4 linked regions of the Arabidopsis thaliana genome follow. The protein of the gene in region 1 interacts with the protein of each later gene in a pairwise test. Each region holds a gene or a part of one and is shown on either strand. Other genes may lie near its edges.

Evidence for each region.
Region 2: the proteins of GSTU19 (region 1) and AT2G29250 interact in a protein complementation assay, tested with the Arabidopsis thaliana proteins (one large-scale study listed by BioGRID).
Region 3: the proteins of GSTU19 (region 1) and AT3G14860 interact in a protein complementation assay, tested with the Arabidopsis thaliana proteins (one large-scale study listed by BioGRID).
Region 4: the proteins of GSTU19 (region 1) and AT5G59740 interact in a protein complementation assay, tested with the Arabidopsis thaliana proteins (one large-scale study listed by BioGRID).

Annotation. Positions count from the first base shown.
Region 1 is NC_003070.9:29,485,669-29,489,947, forward strand, and holds GSTU19 (glutathione S-transferase TAU 19), read right to left. Parts: upstream 2,340-4,279; 5' UTR 2,152-2,339; coding exon 1,837-2,151; intron 1,336-1,836; coding exon 991-1,335; 3' UTR 719-990; downstream 1-718. UniProt on the Arabidopsis thaliana protein: Catalyzes the glutathionylation of 12-oxophytodienoate (OPDA). In vitro, possesses glutathione S-transferase activity toward 1-chloro-2,4-dinitrobenzene (CDNB) and benzyl isothiocyanate (BITC), and glutathione peroxidase activity toward cumene hydroperoxide.
Region 2 is NC_003071.7:12,578,372-12,582,792, forward strand, and holds AT2G29250 (Concanavalin A-like lectin protein kinase family protein), read right to left. Parts: upstream 2,410-4,421; coding exon 538-2,409; downstream 1-537. Other genes in the region: AT2G29260 (NAD(P)-binding Rossmann-fold superfamily protein), read left to right, coding at 4,152-4,399.
Region 3 is NC_003074.8:4,997,650-5,003,339, forward strand, and holds AT3G14860 (NHL domain-containing protein), read right to left. Parts: upstream 3,398-5,690; 5' UTR 3,246-3,397; coding exon 3,119-3,245; intron 3,004-3,118; coding exon 2,932-3,003; intron 2,830-2,931; coding exon 2,662-2,829; intron 2,387-2,661; coding exon 2,216-2,386; intron 2,088-2,215; coding exon 1,875-2,087; intron 1,761-1,874; coding exon 1,672-1,760; intron 1,584-1,671; coding exon 942-1,583; 3' UTR 655-941; downstream 1-654.
Region 4 is NC_003076.8:24,069,124-24,074,697, reverse strand, and holds AT5G59740 (UDP-N-acetylglucosamine (UAA) transporter family), read left to right. Parts: upstream 1-1,611; 5' UTR 1,612-1,830; intron 1,831-1,937; 5' UTR 1,938-1,950; coding exon 1,951-2,061; intron 2,062-2,148; coding exon 2,149-2,262; intron 2,263-2,352; coding exon 2,353-2,445; intron 2,446-2,527; coding exon 2,528-2,593; intron 2,594-2,667; coding exon 2,668-2,766; intron 2,767-2,860; coding exon 2,861-2,940; intron 2,941-3,055; coding exon 3,056-3,168; intron 3,169-3,631; coding exon 3,632-3,720; intron 3,721-3,941; coding exon 3,942-4,028; intron 4,029-4,123; coding exon 4,124-4,192; intron 4,193-4,274; coding exon 4,275-4,388; 3' UTR 4,389-4,649; downstream 4,650-5,574. Other genes in the region: RIBA3 (monofunctional riboflavin biosynthesis protein RIBA 3), read right to left, coding at 25-154, 237-562, 633-1,301. UniProt on the Arabidopsis thaliana protein: Sugar transporter involved in the transport of nucleotide-sugars from cytoplasm into the Golgi and/or the endoplasmic reticulum.

The sequences.
Region 1 (4,279 bases):
CAGTCTCTACTTTTGGCGTGGCCACCTACTCACAGTTGTTTGTATTATTATCTCTCAGTTAGGTGGGTGTACATTTACCACGTGATTCCCTTGATTTGATATCAAACATTACAATCCGGTACATACGAGGACAAGCTACTTACCATGCATGTACAAGAAATACGCATTTACACAAGGAGTGATAACAGCTATACTAATTTATTGAGAGAGTATTGCACTCTATTAAATATATCACATACACCATTATTTTTTCAATATCAGCATAAGATTTATAAATACATAATGCTTTATCTATGTTTATACTCTAAATTCTTTATATATATAAAGCCTTTGAAATAATATTTTAAAATTTACTAATCGATCCCAAAAATTACAGGATAGTTCTGTGTTAATATCGTTGTTGTAATCGTAAATCAAATTCAAATCCCATGAACTGTGCGGATCATAGTAATGTTATTTGATCTACCGAATTCAAATTCGGCAAGAAACACTAAACCCGTGGCTAATCTGATCATACCGACACTAATGATCACATCAACCACATAACTTCCAATTGACTACAATATGGAGTTATGGATGCCAATTTCAATTTGGGCTTATGGATGCCAATTTGGGCTTATTAGATCCAGACCGGCTTACCATTCTCGATGTTGGAGGTTTTAATCGCCAAACTGCACTATTGTCTTTTACAGCAACATTGGCGTGATAAGCTTGGTCAGGTAGAAGAGTCGTATTGGCGTAATTACATATCAAAGTAACAAATTAATAATCATTATAGATTAACGATCATTAATTAAACTCATAGTTACAATGCATAAAAACTAGGACAAGCCATTAAATCCAGAAAACACAGGAATCTGCTACAGCAAAGACATACATTCTCTACACTCAAACCACCTCACAGATGCTCTGCATTATTTAAGAAAGACAACACACGAAAGTAAAACAGAGAGCATCTTAAGTCCGAACCATATGACAAGAGAAACATATTTACTCAGGTACAAATTTCTTCCTGAGCTCAGAGACGAATTCAGTAACCTTCTCAGGATCAGGCAAGGACTTAGCCACGCTCTCCCTCTGCAAACACTTCTTAACCCAAGCAATCAGTTTCGGAACCTCAGATTCGATACTGAAGTTAGCAAACTTCTCGTATGCTGGAAACCATGTGTAGAATCCAATCAACGCAATGTCTACATAGCCAAAGTCATCGCCACTAAAGTAAGGTTTGTCTCCAAGCTCAGATTCAAGAGTCTTGAGTATCTCAATGAAATCCTTCTTCCCTGCCTCTTGTTCCTCACCCTTTGTCGCCCACACCTTCCTCTGAGCATCATACAGCTGAAACATTGCACAGAGTAACATAACACCAAGCTATGTCAGAACTCAGTCGAACCCAAACAAAGCTCAAAGATGATGTCTACAAAGCAAAACCAGTCCTAGAGACCCCCAAATTGCAAAAGAAACATATCATCAAACTATCTAAGATGAACCCAAACAAAGCTCAAAGATGATATCTACTAGCGAAACTAGTATGTAAAAACCTCAAATTGCACAAGTAACATAACATTAAACTATCTAAGAAGACAAACCCTGACTAGCTCAGAGATGAGTCCACAAGAAAAATCTGAAATTTGGAGGTGAGATCTCTAACCCTAACAACTACAAACTCAAGTAATATTATAACATCAGACAAACCCATACAAGCTCAAAGACGAGTCTACAAGCAAAACCCTAAATTTGAGCCAATCACTAGCAAACTCAACTAAAGTTTCAATTTTTATGAAATCCCAAGTTCAATTTCAACATTATTCAATCAAGGGCACAAAGGAAATAAGATACCTTCTTGTCAATGAAATCAGCCCAGAACCTAGCTTGAGCTCTCAGGTAAGGATCAGAAGGAAGGATAGGGTTCTTGTGAGACCAGACCTCGTCAATGTACTGAACCTGGATGATAGATTCGTTAACCGGTTTACCATTGTGGATGAGAACAGGAATCTTCTTGTGAATCGGATTCATCTGGAGAAGCAAAGGACTCTTGTTCCTTAGATCTTCTTCTCTGTACTCAAATTCAACACCTTTCTCCCTCAATGCGATCCTTGTCCTCATCCCGAACATACTCGGCCAGAAATCAAGAAGAATCACCTCGTTCGCCATTGTTACGATCGCTAAAGCTCACAAAGAGATTTTTTTTTGTAAGTGTTCGTCTTTCTCGATTTGTTTGGTTGGGACACTACCTGTAAGGGTTTAGGTAATTTATAGATGAGAATATTTATGATACAATAATGGATTGTGCTGACTCTAGTCGTTACGTCACACCACTCTTTAAAAACATGTGGCCAGATTTTAAAGCTTTTTAAAGTAATAATTTATAATTACAGTATTTTCTTTTTACGTAACATATCTTCATTCGCCTTTTTTTTATCTGTTGACCATTATAGTGTTTTATATAGTAACTTGCAAATATTCGTGTGGACTCTATGATTGAAAAAAGAAAAAAAATCGTCTGAAATCTATTATCATAGTAGCAAATTTGGATTTTGGATGTTAAAGGAAATTATGGATTTCAGTTGACCAGAAACCATAATGGATTTCTAAATCAAGATTTTAGATTTCTTAGCACTGCGTTTAATTATTTTAAAAGTTGATGGAAAAGATTATTTTGTTGTAAGAAAATAACTGGATGGATTAACACAGTTTTAAATTATGTGAACAATTAATTTGACTAATGAGTATTGACGTTTTATTTCGGCACAATGTATCATTACCTGATGAAAATATCATTTATTTATAGAAGAAATGATTCATATTGAAACTTAGTTGAAAAACGTGCAAAAAAATACAGAGGACTTAGAAAAGCGAGCCAAATTTCTAGAAAGCTGTGTAGGTTGAAGAGGTGGAAGATACGTTCACGTTACCAGAATTAACTGGAAATTTTCGAGATATTTCGATGGAACTGTAGAGATTGTGTTACGTCAATAATTGTATTTATACAATTGACGTGACCACATGATCTCGAGAAGCTTGGCGACATTGATCACGAAAGCGAGAGAAGATCCTGGTTCAGTATTGGTTCTATCTTATTTTTGTTTTGGTCATGGACTTATGGTGAATTGGGCCTATATTTTACAAAAAACAATGGATCTGAACCGGGCTTCGAAAAACAGTTTTTCTTATTTGAAAACCCATTAATAAAAACAAAATCATAAGAGCGAGCAAGAAAAAAATCATACCTGACCTTTCAGAACTCCTGTGGCCAAACAAAATGATCTTCTTATTTTTAAATTCTCTTATTTTTAATTCCAAAAGATATAAACTCGCGCCAAAAATTTATGTAACTGATGCTTTAGTATCTTTAACATAGCTAGATCTATTATAAACCTATAATAGACTAGTTAACAAATTTAGCCAAATTGGATATGTCACCAGAGAAAGCAAAATCAGCTACATTGGGTATTTATATTTCGTCGAGTAATATACGGGATTTTTTTCAGGCAGATAATGTGATCTATTCATTATAGACATATATGATTGTTTCATAAGAAGAAACTAGCTCAACATACTCATATCTGCGTTGGGTTCGATATCTCACGACACGTAGCAACATACTCATGTCATAACATGATACATCTTACAATATACACAAAATAGTTGACTAAAAAAAAGCACACACACATTAGGATAAGAAGATACTTAAATTGTTATTTTTCATTGATGATTTCGAATGTGTATCTGTATCTGGAAGTCTCTATAGTGTGTAGACTTTGATCTAGAAACATCGAATGGACCCTACGCACTGTATTACGTGGCATTTTAGTTTCAACCTACAAACTCGTTACTTGATTTTGTATATTCTAATGTTTTTGAGGCGTCAAATTCCGAGACATCAACGTATTTTTCGGCGAATATACTATTTAAAAGTCATGTACAAAAATACGTATGATCTTGATGAGATTTTCCCTAGTATGATTACATATTTGATAAAAACTATTTATTTAGAAAAAAGACACAGCAGTATGCACGTTATAAATCAAAAAATGGTCTTTTTCCATGTCAAAAAAAAAAGATAGTTCCCGGAAAAAAAGAGTGGCCATGAAGTGTATTACATGTTCAAAGATTAGAATCAATCGATTGGCTACTGTGAAATGCGAGTGCTTATGTATACGCTTACGTGTATGCACTTTAGAACCAATAAGAGTAGGATAAAAGATCACAAGTCAAAACTGTGAGATGTTTCCCGTTTGCTTAAAGTAGAAATCGCAACAACCTCAACGTAAATTCATGA
Region 2 (4,421 bases), on another chromosome or scaffold:
AGTTAGTTTCTATATTATTATTGATTTCATGGTCATCTAGTGCATATACCCTTCTTTTAAATTAACCAGGTGAATCCAATCCAAAATCTAAACTAATCCCTTTAACAAAAAAAAAAAAAAATCTATACTGAACCCAAATTCCATAGAAATCTAGATTTTGTTGCTACTATAAAAATCTACTGGTGAACAAAGATAATTGAAATTACAATGAAAGGGCTAGAAAAGTCTGCCAACAATACTATTTATTTGCTTATCTTTTCTTTAACAATACATACTAGTTATCCTAAAACGACGAACAAACATCATTTAGAATTTAAAATCAAACACAAATATTTTAAAATATTCATTTTCTCGGAAGAGTACGAAGATTGTTTAATCGAAGATAATATTTAATGAAATTAATTTCTCAAAACGAGAAATTCTTATTTCCATTTTTAAAAGTTATTCTATGTATTATTCATATCATGCTTATGCATCTTGGGTCCAATCTTGATTTGTACAACGGCGTTTCGAGATCATCGTTAGCCATTTCCTCTTTTAGACGACGTAGTCATCATGAGGGAGATGTTCTGTACCGTTGAGATACTCCAACACTTTCTTCATCATTGGCCTATCTTCTGGAGATCGTCTCACGCAGAGAAGTCCTGTTTTCAGAACCAATAACACTTCTTCAGAGACTAAATTCTTTTTCTTGATTCTTTTGTCGCATCTCCTTAAGAGATTTCCGCTCTTGACCCCTCGAAGCACCCAGTTCACTAAACTGATCTCTACCGGTTCCTTTGTCGGCTCTATGGCTCTCCTTCCACAAACAATCTCCATGATTAACACTCCAAATTCAAACACATCTGTGGCACATGTAGCCTTTCCCGTGTTGACTAGTTCTGGTGCAACGTGTCCCGTAGTGCTGTGTCTGCTTCCATGTCCATAGTCTCCTAGTCGAGCGTTTAGCTCTCCGTCCAAAAGAACGTTACTTGCTTTGACATTTCCGTGTATGAGAGGTTTTTGAACCTCAGCGTGAAGATGTTGAAGTGCTGACGCAATACCCTTTATAATACAAAACCGGTGTACCCATTTGAGAACTGGTAGGTCGTTGCTGAACAAGAACCGGTCTAGGCTTCTATTGATAACATACTCGTAAACAAGATAGATCTCGTTTCCTTTGCTGCAGTAACCATGTAGATCAACAAGATTTCTTTGTTTTACCTTGGAGATTGCATCGATCTCGGCTATTAGGGCTGTCTTTTCTTGCCTTGTGTTGCAAGTAATTCTCTTTACGGCAATTATCTCTGTAGGAGCAAGTTGCCCTTTATAAAAACTCCCAGAGTTTCCCTCTCCCAAAAGCTTAGAGTTGTCAAAACCTCCCGTCGCGCTGGAAATCGTCTGGTGGGAGAATTTCCGTGCGCCTCCGGTGAAGTTTTCCGTTCTACGAAAAAAGCAAACCGCTAAGAAGCTTAAGATCAAGATTCCAAATATTGCTGATGCAGCAATGATTATGATCAGCATCGTGTTACTCGAATTTTTCATGACTGAAACCGGAGGACTCGGGGATGGAGACAATGGAGGTAGCGGGTCTGGAAGAGAGGGAAGCTTCGTGATATCAAAGTCTGATGCTTTCCCCTCGATGCTGAAGCTCCAGCCTAGCACAAAATGTGAGCTCGTGACAGTTCCCGTGGCTGCAGAGAATCCAACATAATTTTCTTCAGAGATGATCCCAGAAAGATTTAGTTTTCTAGAGAGAAGAGGCAACTTTGGCTTCGGACGATCTAGAGGAGCCAATGTGACATTGAGCATCGTCTCAGTTGCGTTGTATTCGATCCAGACTCTTATTGGTTTCCCACTCGCCAGCCTCAAACTTATGTTCTTTGCCTCTCGGTCATCAAAATATTCAGCGGAGGTAGACTCAATGGAGATCACTCCGTTGAGGTCTATACCAACATGGTTATCATCAATATCGTTCAACTCAACGGCCTGCACAGTGTCGAATTCAACTGCAAGAATGCAATTCAAGGAGTTTCCATTGTTGGAGGTATTGAATAGGCCTAGATAATTGCTTGGTAAGGCCCCGCTAAAGTCCAGCGAGGGTGAAATGACAAAAGCTAAGCCGTGGCCTGGTGCGCCAGGTCCTGGAGTGATGGCAAAGACGAAGCTTGTGGGGAAAGATACCAAATTTGAGGAGTTGGGGTTTAAGAATGGTATGGGAAAGCCATGAAAAGCTTGACCTATTTGCCTCATCGAAGTGTTTGTCAACTCCAAGTGGCCACTCGGGTGGATCTTGGACGAGCCAGACTTGAGGAGATTAGCTTCCAGAAAGCCATGGTTAAGAAATTTGGTTTGTTGTTGACTTGAGACACAAGAAAAGTATAGTAGGAAGATTATTGATACAGCTATCGATTTATAGGTATTAGCCATTGATAGTTTTCAGATTTTGATGTTAGCTATGTTCAATGCTATCTTTTTATAGCTTCAAAGAGCTCAAGACACATTCATATTCAAATTTTTTGTTTATGCTGACAAGTTAAACAAACTTAGTTGAAGATTTGACTTTCTATATAAACTGCTAAACAAACCCTTTTTTTTTTTGCAAACCTTTATATTAGTATCCTTGAAAAATTCTTTCGAACTTTCCTCCACAATTTCTTCCTAATAAAATTGATTGCAAAATAAACAAGAAAATGGTTACATATTTTCTGTATAATTTAAATGTGATTACAAAGTCATAATGGATCAAAAATTATTGAACAAAAAAAACGTCATCTTTTAGCTAGCCTTTAGGGTGAATCACCTTTTTTTTTGTTACACATATAATTTTGACTGCCTAACGATCGACGTTTATCCACTATGACTATGTGATACAAACAAATAGAAAGGTTTCTCTTGAGTCTTGTAATTGTGCAATTATTTGTATTAGGAAGAAATTGTGGAGGAAACTTGCAATAATTATCAACTATATGTCGCATAAAAGGCGTTGCTATGTTAGGCTTTTAGCCACTATATATCCAATATAAAAATAAAAAATGGATGAACAATTGAACATTCCTTGAAATTAAAGTGTTAACTTTAAATATGAATATTTATAATAAAAAAATATCCTAACTTTTTTTTATTATTATTATAAAGACATACGTTGTCAAACTAAGAAATTCAATTTGTAAACGAAGAAGAAGAATACTTGACCATTCAAATCTTAGTCTTGTTCTCACTGAAAACTTGTACAAAAATAAATAATTACAAAATCTAGAGAAGTTTTCATGCAAAATTGTATATGTAGATGTAGTCAGATAGAGTTCCATATATTCTATAAACGAAGAAATCACAACAATACAATGTACAAATTAACATCATTAGATTAGAGTCAAAGAATTTTTAAAAATATATCAACTTTCTGAGAAGAGTACAAAGATTGTTTACGAACGAAGAATTCTCAAAACATAAAATAATTAGTTTCCATTTTACAAAAATGATCTTAGGTAATCTGCTTATATTGGTTAAAGTATTTCTATTTTCTAACCAAAACTTAGGCAATTTATTTTGTCACCAACATACAATATTATATTAACAATCTATATATTACTAATCTATATGTTTTTTTCTTTTTGGTCTAAGGTAAACTTTGTGATTTAATTGTAGTATTGTACCTCTTCAATAGATACTCCGTACTCGCATGTATTAATAGAGCATCACATTTATCGACTTCTCTATGGTTAGTTTATGCATCTACTAAGTTTTTTATGGACTTTTGTTTTTGTTGTTCATTTATCGAAATAAAGCAAAAAACTGCAACGATCCAGTTAATCCGCAAAAATTAATGAATTAGAGTTTTTTTTTTTTCTCTTCTTCTTGTTGCATTTTCTCCTTTTTTTTTCTATTTTTTCTAATGATATTAACTAATATCTTCCCTACTAAAATATTGAAATGCTTTATTTTATTTTTTAAATAAAGAAATTGATTATGATTTTTTTTTTGTTACAGTTTATAAATGTGTCTAATAATTTATGGATATTTTATAAAGTTTATAAGATATATATACAGTAATTTAAAATTTGCCGCAATGATGACGTCGTCATCGTCACTAAACCAATCAGAACCATGCTTCGCATAAAGGTGACTCTGACTCATTTGAAAAGCTGAAACATAAACTCTGCTCTGCATAAATGGTGCTTGACATGGCTTCTCACTTGTACACAAATCCACCTCAAAACCTTCACTTTATTTCTTCTTCTTCTTCCCTTAAACCTCATTTATGCCTCTCTTTCAAACGCATAAACCCTAAACACAAATCCTCTTCCTCTTCCGTCTTCGTCCCTTACGCATCACAGAGTTCCATTGCCATTACCTCCAAGGAAAGATGGTCTCTCAATGGAATGTCTGCTCTTGTCACCGGCGGCACTCGTGGAATTGGGTTTGTCTCTCTTCACAACAAG
Region 3 (5,690 bases), on another chromosome or scaffold:
TATTGTGATTGATCATTTAAATCTGAATAAAAGGTCCGTTTCTGAATTTTGTAATCATACATAGGTTATTAGAATTAAAGAAATCGAATGATCAAGAAAAATAATTAATCTAAACCCTACCTCCGTGTAGTGTAAGTGAACACAATATGAAACTGTATAGATCAAAACTTCTATAGCTAATTCATTTAGTAAGGTCGTTTTTCAACTGATCGATAGTTTGTCAACAAAGCACATTCCAATTATTAAAGTTTCAACCAAATCTCTACAATAATTCTATAAAAATGGAACTGAATGAAGTCAAGTTATTATCAAATTCGATCTTAAAAAATCATATTCGTATGAATGAAGTCAAGTTATTATCAAATTCGATCTTAAAAAATCATATTCGTATTCGTACTCTCTTTATCTCCATGCCAAACACATAGATTTTACTCTGTTCTATCATGAGCACCTAATATTTTTGTAATGAATGTATCATGAGTTGAACAAAAGGGTCCTTAGCTCAGTGGTAGAGCATTTGACTGCAGATCAAGAGGTCACCGGTTCGAACCCGGTAGGGCCCTTCATTTTTTTTTCCTTTTTTTTTTTTTGACTAAGATTCTTTACAATTATATATACTTTCTTAGGACCATGGTTAGCAAGGAACCTATCTCTAGCAGCCAAAGATCTATATATAGCAAGCAAGAATGTGTTAATAGCAAGTTAGTAACGAAGAGCCTGTTCTTGTGATCGTATAAGTTCATAATACATCAGATTTTCAGTCATGATTCATCAATCCTTCGTTACAAGAAAAGCCTTTAACCTCTTTTTCATCATCTGTGTAATAAGATTTTCTTAGTAACTAACAAAAAGAAAACATAAGGAATCTCCTCAAACCAAGGACAAAAGAAAGGGCACAACATACTCAGAAAAGGGTTCTAATGAGTATGTGATTTTACTTTCTAGAATCGAAATGGAGTTTCAGGTCCATACTTGCTGCTCCTCATGTTGTAATGATCAAACTTTGAACTATTACTGTACTCCACAGGCTTCACCGTATCTGATGGTGTTGGCTTTGGTTCTGTCTCGGTTGTTTTATCTCTATGACGACGCCTTGACCGCTCTTTATGGATCTTCGGTTGGGCAACCTCTCCCGAGGCATAGAACTGAGCATAGTCCTGCCGTTTTGATGATGTCCGATGGTGCTTGGATGATGACAAAGTAGGGTCCTTCATTACACTACTTGATCTTAGCTTTGGCGTCTTATGTTCAGGGTAACTATCATCAGCTTTAGGTAAGTGAGCATGTCGGGATTCTGAGATTGGTGCTGGGGCAGTATGCCTTTGGACTCGAGGTGGTTCTTGTTCGTCTTCAGGCATTATGAGTCTATCTTTTAATGGCCTTAGATTGGGGTTGGTTTGGAATCGGGCTGGAACTAGGTGGCTGGTTATAAACTCGAGAGCAAGTTTGCAGAGATCAGTAAGGAGTTGCCCAAATGATGGCCAACCAGGTTCTTCCTTGGTTATTGTTTTCTCATGGACAGGCCGGGAGAGTTTCTCTTTTCCTGGATGCTCTTCTTCATAGCTGGTTTCTGATCCTACCTGCTGTAAGATAAAACAGAAATTGTTGTTGTTTGTAGCATATGGTTGATGAGAAGCGAAAAGGCACGAAAGAGAAGAGATAGAAATTTACCGTCTTTGAGAAGAAAGAATTTCCAAAGCCCTGCTGGAGCATACAAGTAGCATAACCAATGAGAACAGCACCAATAACCAAGAGTATATCTGCACCGAATGTAAGCACGCAATGATCTTCTGTTAACACTCTCAAATCCACCCCTAAACAGAGTGTATGCAAAATGATCTATGTAGTGGGAAGAGGTGTTTTTGACTTCTTACCAGTTAGAGAGATTGAGCTATCATCTTGATAGTCACAGTCCTCTTCACTGAGAGAGATTTGGCGAAGAGCCGCATTTCCTCTATCGATGACCAGCAACGAGCAGGTAGGCCGAACATATACGACATCAAAATCATTTGAGAACTTTGCATCCTCACTTGGCCCATCTCTATACCCAGCTATATTTGATTTTCCCCCAGCTATCGTAGTAACACCTGTAACAAAAATGTTTCAGACTCTTAAGAACACAATTCTTCTCAGTTTAATTATATTTTTCAACAACAAGCAACCATTTCAGTTTTTGAGTGCTGATGTAAGTAAAACCTATAGAAAACTTGTATACCTGAATCACCAATCTTTCGGATGGCGAGATTCAAAGTATCAGCGACATAAACGTTCCCTTTGTCATCCATTGTAACGCCTCTCGGATGGTTAAAACGAGCCTCACTCGGTTTTCCATCTGCATGCCCTGTTTTTCCTTGAAAAGATCCAGCCACCAATCTTCCCCTGCTGTCTGCCCACAAGTACATAGATTATAAACAAAGTCATAAAAACCTCCAACACTAAAAAAGAAAGAGAAAATCAAATGTTTCATATATAGTATAAAGAACCAGAATATTGAAGTAAAATAGAAAATGTAATGCTACAAGCCAAGATCATCAAAAGATCACAGTAGTATCGTTAGTGTATCAAGTATAATCTGCGATGGCATGTGTATATGATTGGATGTACTTAAAACTGCAAAAACTAAGTCATAAAGAAGAGAACTTGTGGAGAACGAAGTTTTACACTGAGACAAGGGAGGAGTGATTTTCATGATGTTGCTATTAAGTTCATCAACAGCATAAAGTTCTCCATCATCAGAAACTCGAATCTTGTAAGGAACAACACCAATATCGTTTCCTTCCACAACAGTTTCGACCAAGTAACCATTCTCAAACTGAAGAACATTAGTGTCTGCACCACAAGTAGCAGTTAGAGAAAGAAACATCAAAACCAAGTTTATGAACAACAAACAATCAAGGCGACCAAATTCAGTCGTACTAATTGAGAATTTACCTGATTGGGATAATTTAGAGGATGATCCAGTAGTCCACTTGAGAACCGATGACATGTGCTTAATCAAGGAACCTAAATTCAATTTACAACAATTGACATAAAAAACCAGAAATTGAAGAGTGAATTCACTAAGAAAGTGAGTGAAGCAGATAGATCAAAGCAACGAAGTTAAGTATGGTAAAGTTACCAGAAGGAGCAGCTTGAGCTTGAAATGGAAAGGAGTGAAGAGTAAAGAAGATCCATAAAGTGAAGAAAGTATTGAAAGAAGAACAAGTAAAGCTCTCAGCGTTTAGAAGAATCTGAGATTTGCCCATCTCTTTCTCTGTATCTTCCAAAAGTACAATTTTATGTTGGAATCGAACCCTAGTAGAGGCGATTCACATCTTCCAACACACCACAACACCAACTGATAGAATGAAACCAATTTGCAGATGACAACAGATTTTTTTCTTTTCTTTTTTGAAAGTAAGAAAAGAAATTGTGTAACGAACATAAAGTTACCTTATTGGGTTACTCGTGTTTTTTATGGGCCTTATAATAGGCCCATTAAGGTTCTTACCTTTCAATACGCCCATTTAGTGAGTGCTAAATCCTTTATACTCACTGCCACTGGGCCACTAGAAGTCTTGAATACTAAAAGACAAAACTAAAGTAAAGAAACAAAAAAAAAAAAGCCGATCAGATCAGAAGCACTTCTACGACATGTCCAATCGCATCAATACCTTTTTCTTGTCTGTTTCAAAATAAGGTAAATAAATTATATGCAACTTTATAGTATGTGAATAGTCGTTAATACATAATAAAAAAATCAAGAATAGTCGTGAATAGAGAAAATCCTTTTTATCAAATCCATACTCTCATAGGCTCATAGCTCTCAATTCTTGGTTTGAAATTGAAATCGAATTGTCTCTCAAGCTTTTTACTTTCCGTTAAACACGGACAATTAACTCACTTTGTACTAACTGATAAAATTACATGCATATGCCACTCCATCACTGCATCAGTGCATTGTATTCATAACTCGTACAAATATAACTGGAATGATGTATTCTCACGATTTCTATATTTATAAAGTTTGCATTTAAAGCCCACCAAGACTAATTTGGTTTACTTATTGCTTATAAGATGATTCAAACTTTGGACTTAGCAATTTTCAATCTTGATTTTGCTTTCATCGATAGGACAACTGTACTTATTGAGTTGCTTCACGTATTTAGTGAAAGCTAATACTGCTATTCAGCTGTCTTTTATGCAACTTGACAAATAATTTAAGAGTCTTATTTTATTTTTGTTCAACATTTAAGAGTCTTATTTAAAAACAAAAGAACTTATAGAGAATGAACTTACATAATTCTCGTTTGATTAAATAAACATCAAGGCAGTTAAATACGGAACTAAAGAAGGGTTAACAAATAGAAAGCGTTTTCAGGAGAATGTGGGAAATGGTTACACTTTTTTTTTAATTTGCCACGTGTCTTTCATCTATCTCACTCATACCGGACGGACCGGTCTTCGCGTACGTACGCAATAACAGCTTCCAAGTAGTTTCATTCCCAACCCAAACCGTGTGATTTTGCGTTCTGTCTGAACATCTTATTCCCTGACATACCGAGAACACCCCTACTTCCTTTTCGACGTTTCTTGGAGTAAAGTAGCAATGTCGGTGTAAATGTCCCTTTACCATGAGGGTATTTACGTAAATCTATGTCCTTTGAACTTCCCTAGGCTCACCCTTCTCTGTCATTTATTACTCTCTTCTCCTCTCCTACGACTCTCTCTCTCAGTCACTCTAAAGCCTTTTTCCCCTCTTCTCATTCTCGAGCTCCGGACTTGTCTTGAAACCGTGAAGGAATCTGTATCTTTTGTATGTTACCCATTTTATTGTCGTTAAGAATCAATTTAGAGGCAAAACGCCGAGAGGTTTGCCCGGGAGAGTGTTTTTACATCGATCAGGTTGGTTAGCTAATCAATATTTATTAATTATCATCTTTTGTTCTTCTGAATGATTTCGTCTTCATTGTTATTCTGCAGTTTCTTATATTCTCATTTTCAATCAAATGAATATATCATTGTGACTTGTGAATGCTCTTACAATCCCATCATTCATACCAATAATGCCATGGTCAAGCATTCACATCAGCTTGAATATTAGTCTCATATTGGTTCTGTGTTTATCCTTTTTCCTTTGGTAGGTAGTGATTTATAATTTCATATGATTGATTTGATCTGCAGGGTTTAAGCAGAGGTTGGTTTGTCATTTCGCCAGTTTGCTTCTTCAAATTCACTCTACGATGAAGTGAGAACAACAAACAAAACATAGATAAGATAGAGACCTTGGAACTGTTGGAAGGTAAATTCAATACAATCTTTTTAAATGAACTTTGCTTCTAAAGTTGTATTAAACCCTGAGAACCATATTAATTTAGACCTTCTGGAGTAATACTGGTTATGTTGCTGAGTTTATTATCACTCTTTAACATAACTCTTCTCATTAGTTTTCCTTTAATCCGTGTGCTTTATGGTCTAAGCTCTAGTGAAATAGAGAAATATGGTTGTTTTGTGAGTAGCTTGTGACTGTACTAAATGTTAGGTAGCTATATTTGGCTTTGAGGCTGTCTTACTTTTTTTTCAAATGAGTGGAATCAAATGACCATTTAAGAGAATCATATACATAGAGACATGTGTGTATTTGTGTGTGGGGGCACTTTTATGTTCTTGGATTCTAGTTTAACTGATTTGGTTTGTAGCAATTATGAATC
Region 4 (5,574 bases), on another chromosome or scaffold:
TAGAAGTAAGTCGTGATTTTGTACCTTAACGAGGGCGATATTTTCGGTTCCATCGAGTTTAGATCGATAACAATAAGCTTGGAAAAGACCCCATTTGGTAGGCAAACGAGACACTGTGATTCTCTCAACAAGCTTATCTCGCTTTCTTCGATATCTACAAGTATATAAAACTTCAGATAATTACTTGTATCCAGTGTTTTCTATCTTTTCAATACATGGTCTTCTTCTTCTCTAACCTGATTAAATCAGTCAACGATACAATGGGGATATCATGTTCCGTAGCAAGCTTTTTCATATACGGCAGTGAAGCCATAGACCCATCTTCTTGATCAAGAATAGCTGAAAGAACAGAGAGGGGACGTAAACCAGCCAATATCATTAGATCCACTGAAGCTTCGGTGTGACCAGCTCTCCTTAAAACTCCACCATCTCTGTACTTGAGAGGGAATACATGACCAGGCCTCCTGAAATCATCTGGTTTAGCATCGAGAGACGAAAGTGCAAGAACCGTCATCGCCCTGTCTGAAGCTGATACTCCAGTTGATGTTCCAGATTTTGCATCCTGTAACCAAGAACTTTATCAGAACATAGACACAATGAAACCCTCTTGAGAACTATATCCAAATCGTTACCACAGTGATGGTGAAAGTTGGAGCAGAGGAATCTTCGTCTTCCATTTCAGGTGACATAAGTGTAAGGCTTAATCTTTCAAGGTTTTCTTTCTTCATACCAACTGAGACAATACCTGAACCATTCTTAATCAGAAAAGCTATGTCTTTTGGACTCGTAAGAGTTGCAGCCATGATCAGATTCCCTTCAACATCTCCGGTTTCATCGTCAACAACGATCACAAACTGAAACATAAGTGACAATTTTTTAGTAAGACCAAATCTATACAACTGTAAAAACAGATCATCATAATCACTGGTCTTCAAGAAAATCGTCAAAGAACAAACCTTTCCTTTGCGTAGAGCTTGAAGAGCAAGTTCAATAGAGGAATAACCTTGAGTAGGACAATCTGGATCACCCTCTGCGTCACTCACGAAGAAATCATCAGTCTCAGGCGTGATTTCCGCGTCAACTGTCTCAAACGAAGCAGAATCAAACAACGACCCGTCGGTTTTCCTAACAGGATTTTCATCGAACACATTGCGATCACTATTCTCACTAGCCTTGATCTCCCAACTTGAACGACTAACCAATCTCCAGCAAGTATTAGCAAACCTAGGAGAACTATACAAGCCATTGATGAAGCTGTGAGCGAAAAAGATTCGAGGATGATATAAAGCAGAATCCATCATCGACGTAATGAAACATATATCTCTCTGCTCGTACGATTCGCTGCTTCTCGTCTCTTTGGAGTTGTTCTCAACACAAAACCAAAATCTGAAAATTTTAAAATTTCAGACATATTTTTAAGGTTGGAAGGGAAAAAAATCACGACCACGAGTTTAGGATTTATCTTCTTTCGTCGTCATCGTACTAACTTAACTGGTGTTTCTCATGGGCCACACATGTTGATCATGAAGAACTATCACATAAACGGAAACCCTCTGGGTCCTTTAGAAGGTTTTGACCTTTGTCTTATTGCTGACGTGGCCTATACTTGGAAAACATCAACGAACACAACTTTAAAAAGGGCGGAAATAAAGGAATTGAGAGAAAGAGGACGGTGGAGGAGCAAATCGGATCCAGACGGAGAAGTCGCCGGAGAACGGTTTACAAAAGGAGCGTGAGAGAGAGACAGAGACAATTTTTCTCCGATCTCACCGGATCAGCCGTTGTACTCTTACCAATCCGTCGTCTAGCTTGAAATCTCCGAGCTCAAAGGTGTGTTACAGTCACTAGTCACTGTGATTTCTCACGCTTACATTACAAAATCGGAGCTTGTATTGTGTGATTAGATTTGGTTCATTAATGGTGGGTTTTGTGTTCAGAGGTGGATGGTCCATGGCTGAGCCAGAATTAGTAAACGGAGGAGTGAAAGAGAACAAATTATGGAAAGGTGTATTCGCAGTTTCCGGCATTATGTCTACTCTTGTAATCTACGGTGTTCTTCAGGTCTGTCTTGTTTTCATGATACCATTCTCTGTGAAATGTCTCCCCTTTCTTACAAATTTCTTTTGTTTTGTGATTGTGGTTTTGTAGGAGAAGATAATGAGAGTTCCTTATGGAGTGAACAAGGAGTTTTTTAAGCACTCTTTGTTTCTTGTTTTCTGCAATCGGCTTACTACATCAGCTGTCTCTGCTGGTGCTTTACTGGTAAACTAGCTAAAAACACCAACTTTGTGTTTATACTTATTTGCTAAAGTTTTATGTAACCCTTTTTGGCTTTTCTTTTTTAATTTGTAGGCAAGCAAGAAAGTTTTGGATCCTGTAGCTCCGGTTTATAAATATTGCCTTATATCAGTGACTAACATCTTAACTACAACATGTCAATATGAGGTTGGATTTTTATTTTAATGTATGAACTTTGTATGCCTACTTTTTGCTGCTTATTGCTTTTTGCTATCTGTAATGCCTCCAGGCTCTCAAGTATGTGAGCTTCCCTGTCCAAACTCTTGCAAAGTGTGCCAAAATGATACCAGTAATGGTAAGTTTTTCAGAGCTGGAAACTCATGCCTTTGAGTTTAGCATCCACCATTCTTATATTTGTGCTCTATATAGGTGTGGGGAACGCTCATTATGCAGAAGAAGTATAAGGGCTTTGACTATTTAGTGGCTTTTCTGGTGACCCTTGGCTGCTCTGTCTTTATTCTCTTTCCGGTATAAACCTCTATACCCAATCAAAAGCTTCGGTTAGTTAGACTATCATATTTACCATGAACATCATGTTTGTTTATGTAAACCTGATTTGTAGGCAGGAGATGATGTTAGTCCATACAATAAGGGAAGGGAAAATACTGTTTGGGGTGTTTCCCTTATGGCTGGTTATCTTGGGTATGTGTATCCGTGTTACTTGTTTTATTGTTTATGCGAATATACTGAAATTTTTGTTGTCTTGTTTTAAAACAAGGAATATTGATTGTGTATATGGTAATTGGCTCACTAACAGGTTTGACGGCTTTACAAGTACATTCCAAGACAAGCTCTTTAAAGGATATAACATGGAGATACATAACCAAATATTCTACACAACACTTTGTTCTTGTGTTTTGAGTTTCACTGGTGAGAATCTTATTTGTTTCTGGAACCTATACTGTTAGAGTCGCATCATTTTCTGTCACTGTCATTTTCTATGGACATTGGACCATTAATCGTTTTCCCTGGTGGGTGGCTGGTCCTAAGAAAATTCTTTAGGAAGAAGACTTTTCTCTTCTTTTTTTCTCTTTATTTGTTTACTTTAGTTATATATCTGAGTTCAGTTTATTTTGACTGTTAGACCTCTGGAATGAAAATTGATTCAATCTTCAGCTGATGACTACTAGGCTAAAGTGAGGTTTTATGTTAGTGATATCAACATGTCATTAGTCGCAACTATTTTAAGTTTCCTCTGTTTCTGAATGTGTCTCATAGTCAGAATTCATCTCTTCTGCATAAAAGACCTCAATGCTTAGACCCTCAAAAAGAAGATCAATGTGGTCAATCATTCTCTGTTCTTACCATTATGTAAATCTTATGGTTGATGTAGGACTTATATTGCAAGGGCATCTACTACCAGCTGTAGATTTTGTTTCTCTGCATAGGGATTGTTTACTCGACATCGCTCTGCTTTCCACAGTAAGTTTTAAGCTTCCTCTATTCTTCTACTTAGTAAATGCATTGCCATGTCGTTTCGACCAAATTAGTTTTAAGATCCACAAGATGCATGCATGTATATTCATAAAACAAATCCATAAATCTATAATCCGAAACAAAAGGCTTTGATGACGTCTCATGATACAATCTTCCTGTCTTGTCTTTGTTTACCACTGAACTTACCAGAGACTAATAATGTGCAGGTTGCAACAGCGAGCCAGTTCTTCATTTCTTACACAATTAGGACATTTGGTGCTCTAACATTTGCTGCAATCATGACGACCAGACAGGTAAAAAGAAAACTCGATCTCAGTCTGAATAATCTGTCTTCATAACTGACAACACCGTCCGATTTCTAATCCGACTAATCTGTCTTTTAATAAAGCTTGCAAGCATCATGCTCTCATGCATTTGGTTTTCTCATCCTCTTAGCTGGGAGCAATGTATCGGATCGGTACAGTTTCGGTTCCTTCTACATTGTTCGGAACTTTATATTATACTTTTTGATTCTTGACTAACCAAGTTTGCTCCATCAGGTCATCGTTTTCGGGTCTTTATATGCGAAAAACTTACTGAACAACAAGAAAAATTCACAAACGCAACCACCACCTCCAGAACTTCCGCAGTACGAAAAGGTTGAGAGCTCTTAAGAAGAAATATAACACCAGTTAAAGGTTTTTGCGCTTGATATAACCCTCAGAAGTTCAGAACAAAAGAAAACTAGCCGTTAGGAAACTGAAACTAGGATTTATATACTCGTTGTATTTGTCTCATCTTTTTAAAAATTTTGTTGGATCTCGCGTAGAGTTGATTATATATCTATATTATGAGTAGTGAGTACATGTGTTTCTTGTTTGTTAGTTGATCGCTAGACGAAAAAGATTGATGACAATGAAAATGTTATACTTCTGCACAAGTTTGCCTAACCAGATCAAACCGAAATCATTTATTCCGAGATCAAATGGATCATTATTTGTGTATACTATCTAAAACAAAAACTGAATCCAAATTTAAGTTAACCAAAAACTAAAAAAACTGATCTCAAACCTAAATTTATGTAAAAATAAAAGAAGATTATAGTTTATATAGAATTTTTCTTTTTGAGTTGGTGCAATTATAGATACCACAGCTGAAAGATTAAAAAAGTAGTTGTAGTTGGTTAGAATTTCTGATGTAAGCCTTTGAGATATCCCGATTGACTTCCAACAGCAAGACTTTCCCTTTAATCACTTTTTTCTGTTTACTTTCAAATGTACCAATTTTGTATTTTTAGTATTTTAATATTCTTCAAGAAATTTTAGCAGTATCAAAATGTACCTGGTCATCATCAGAAGAATAATTCAAAGAAGGAAAGAGATTGATCTGGTAAATATCATAATAAGGTCTTGTATTACATTTTTAAAAAAATGGCGATGAGTATCAGTCCTTTATATATAGTGGACTTATTCTTCATTCCTAAAACATACTTGAATACTTCAAAGGAAGAGATATATTCATATATAACCCTAAAGAAACTTTCATTAAGTTTCAAAAAAATAACAATTTGGTTGTTAAGGGTAATCATTGAATAGTTAGCTGATTAACTACTGCATATACAAAGATTATAACTTTCTGCCGGAACTGAAAATAATTAATCAATTGTGTGTGTATAAAATTTGAAAATTAGCTTTTTCGTTCTATGCTATGCTCCCTCGTTTTTAGTCAGTTTATTTAGTTGATCATCACAACCGAAGATGAACCAAAAACACTAAATTAAGACGTTTTCTTAAGGAAGTTATAAATTCGTGACTATAAGACGACGTCAAAACGAATTAACGAAAGGTCCAAAATTCACAC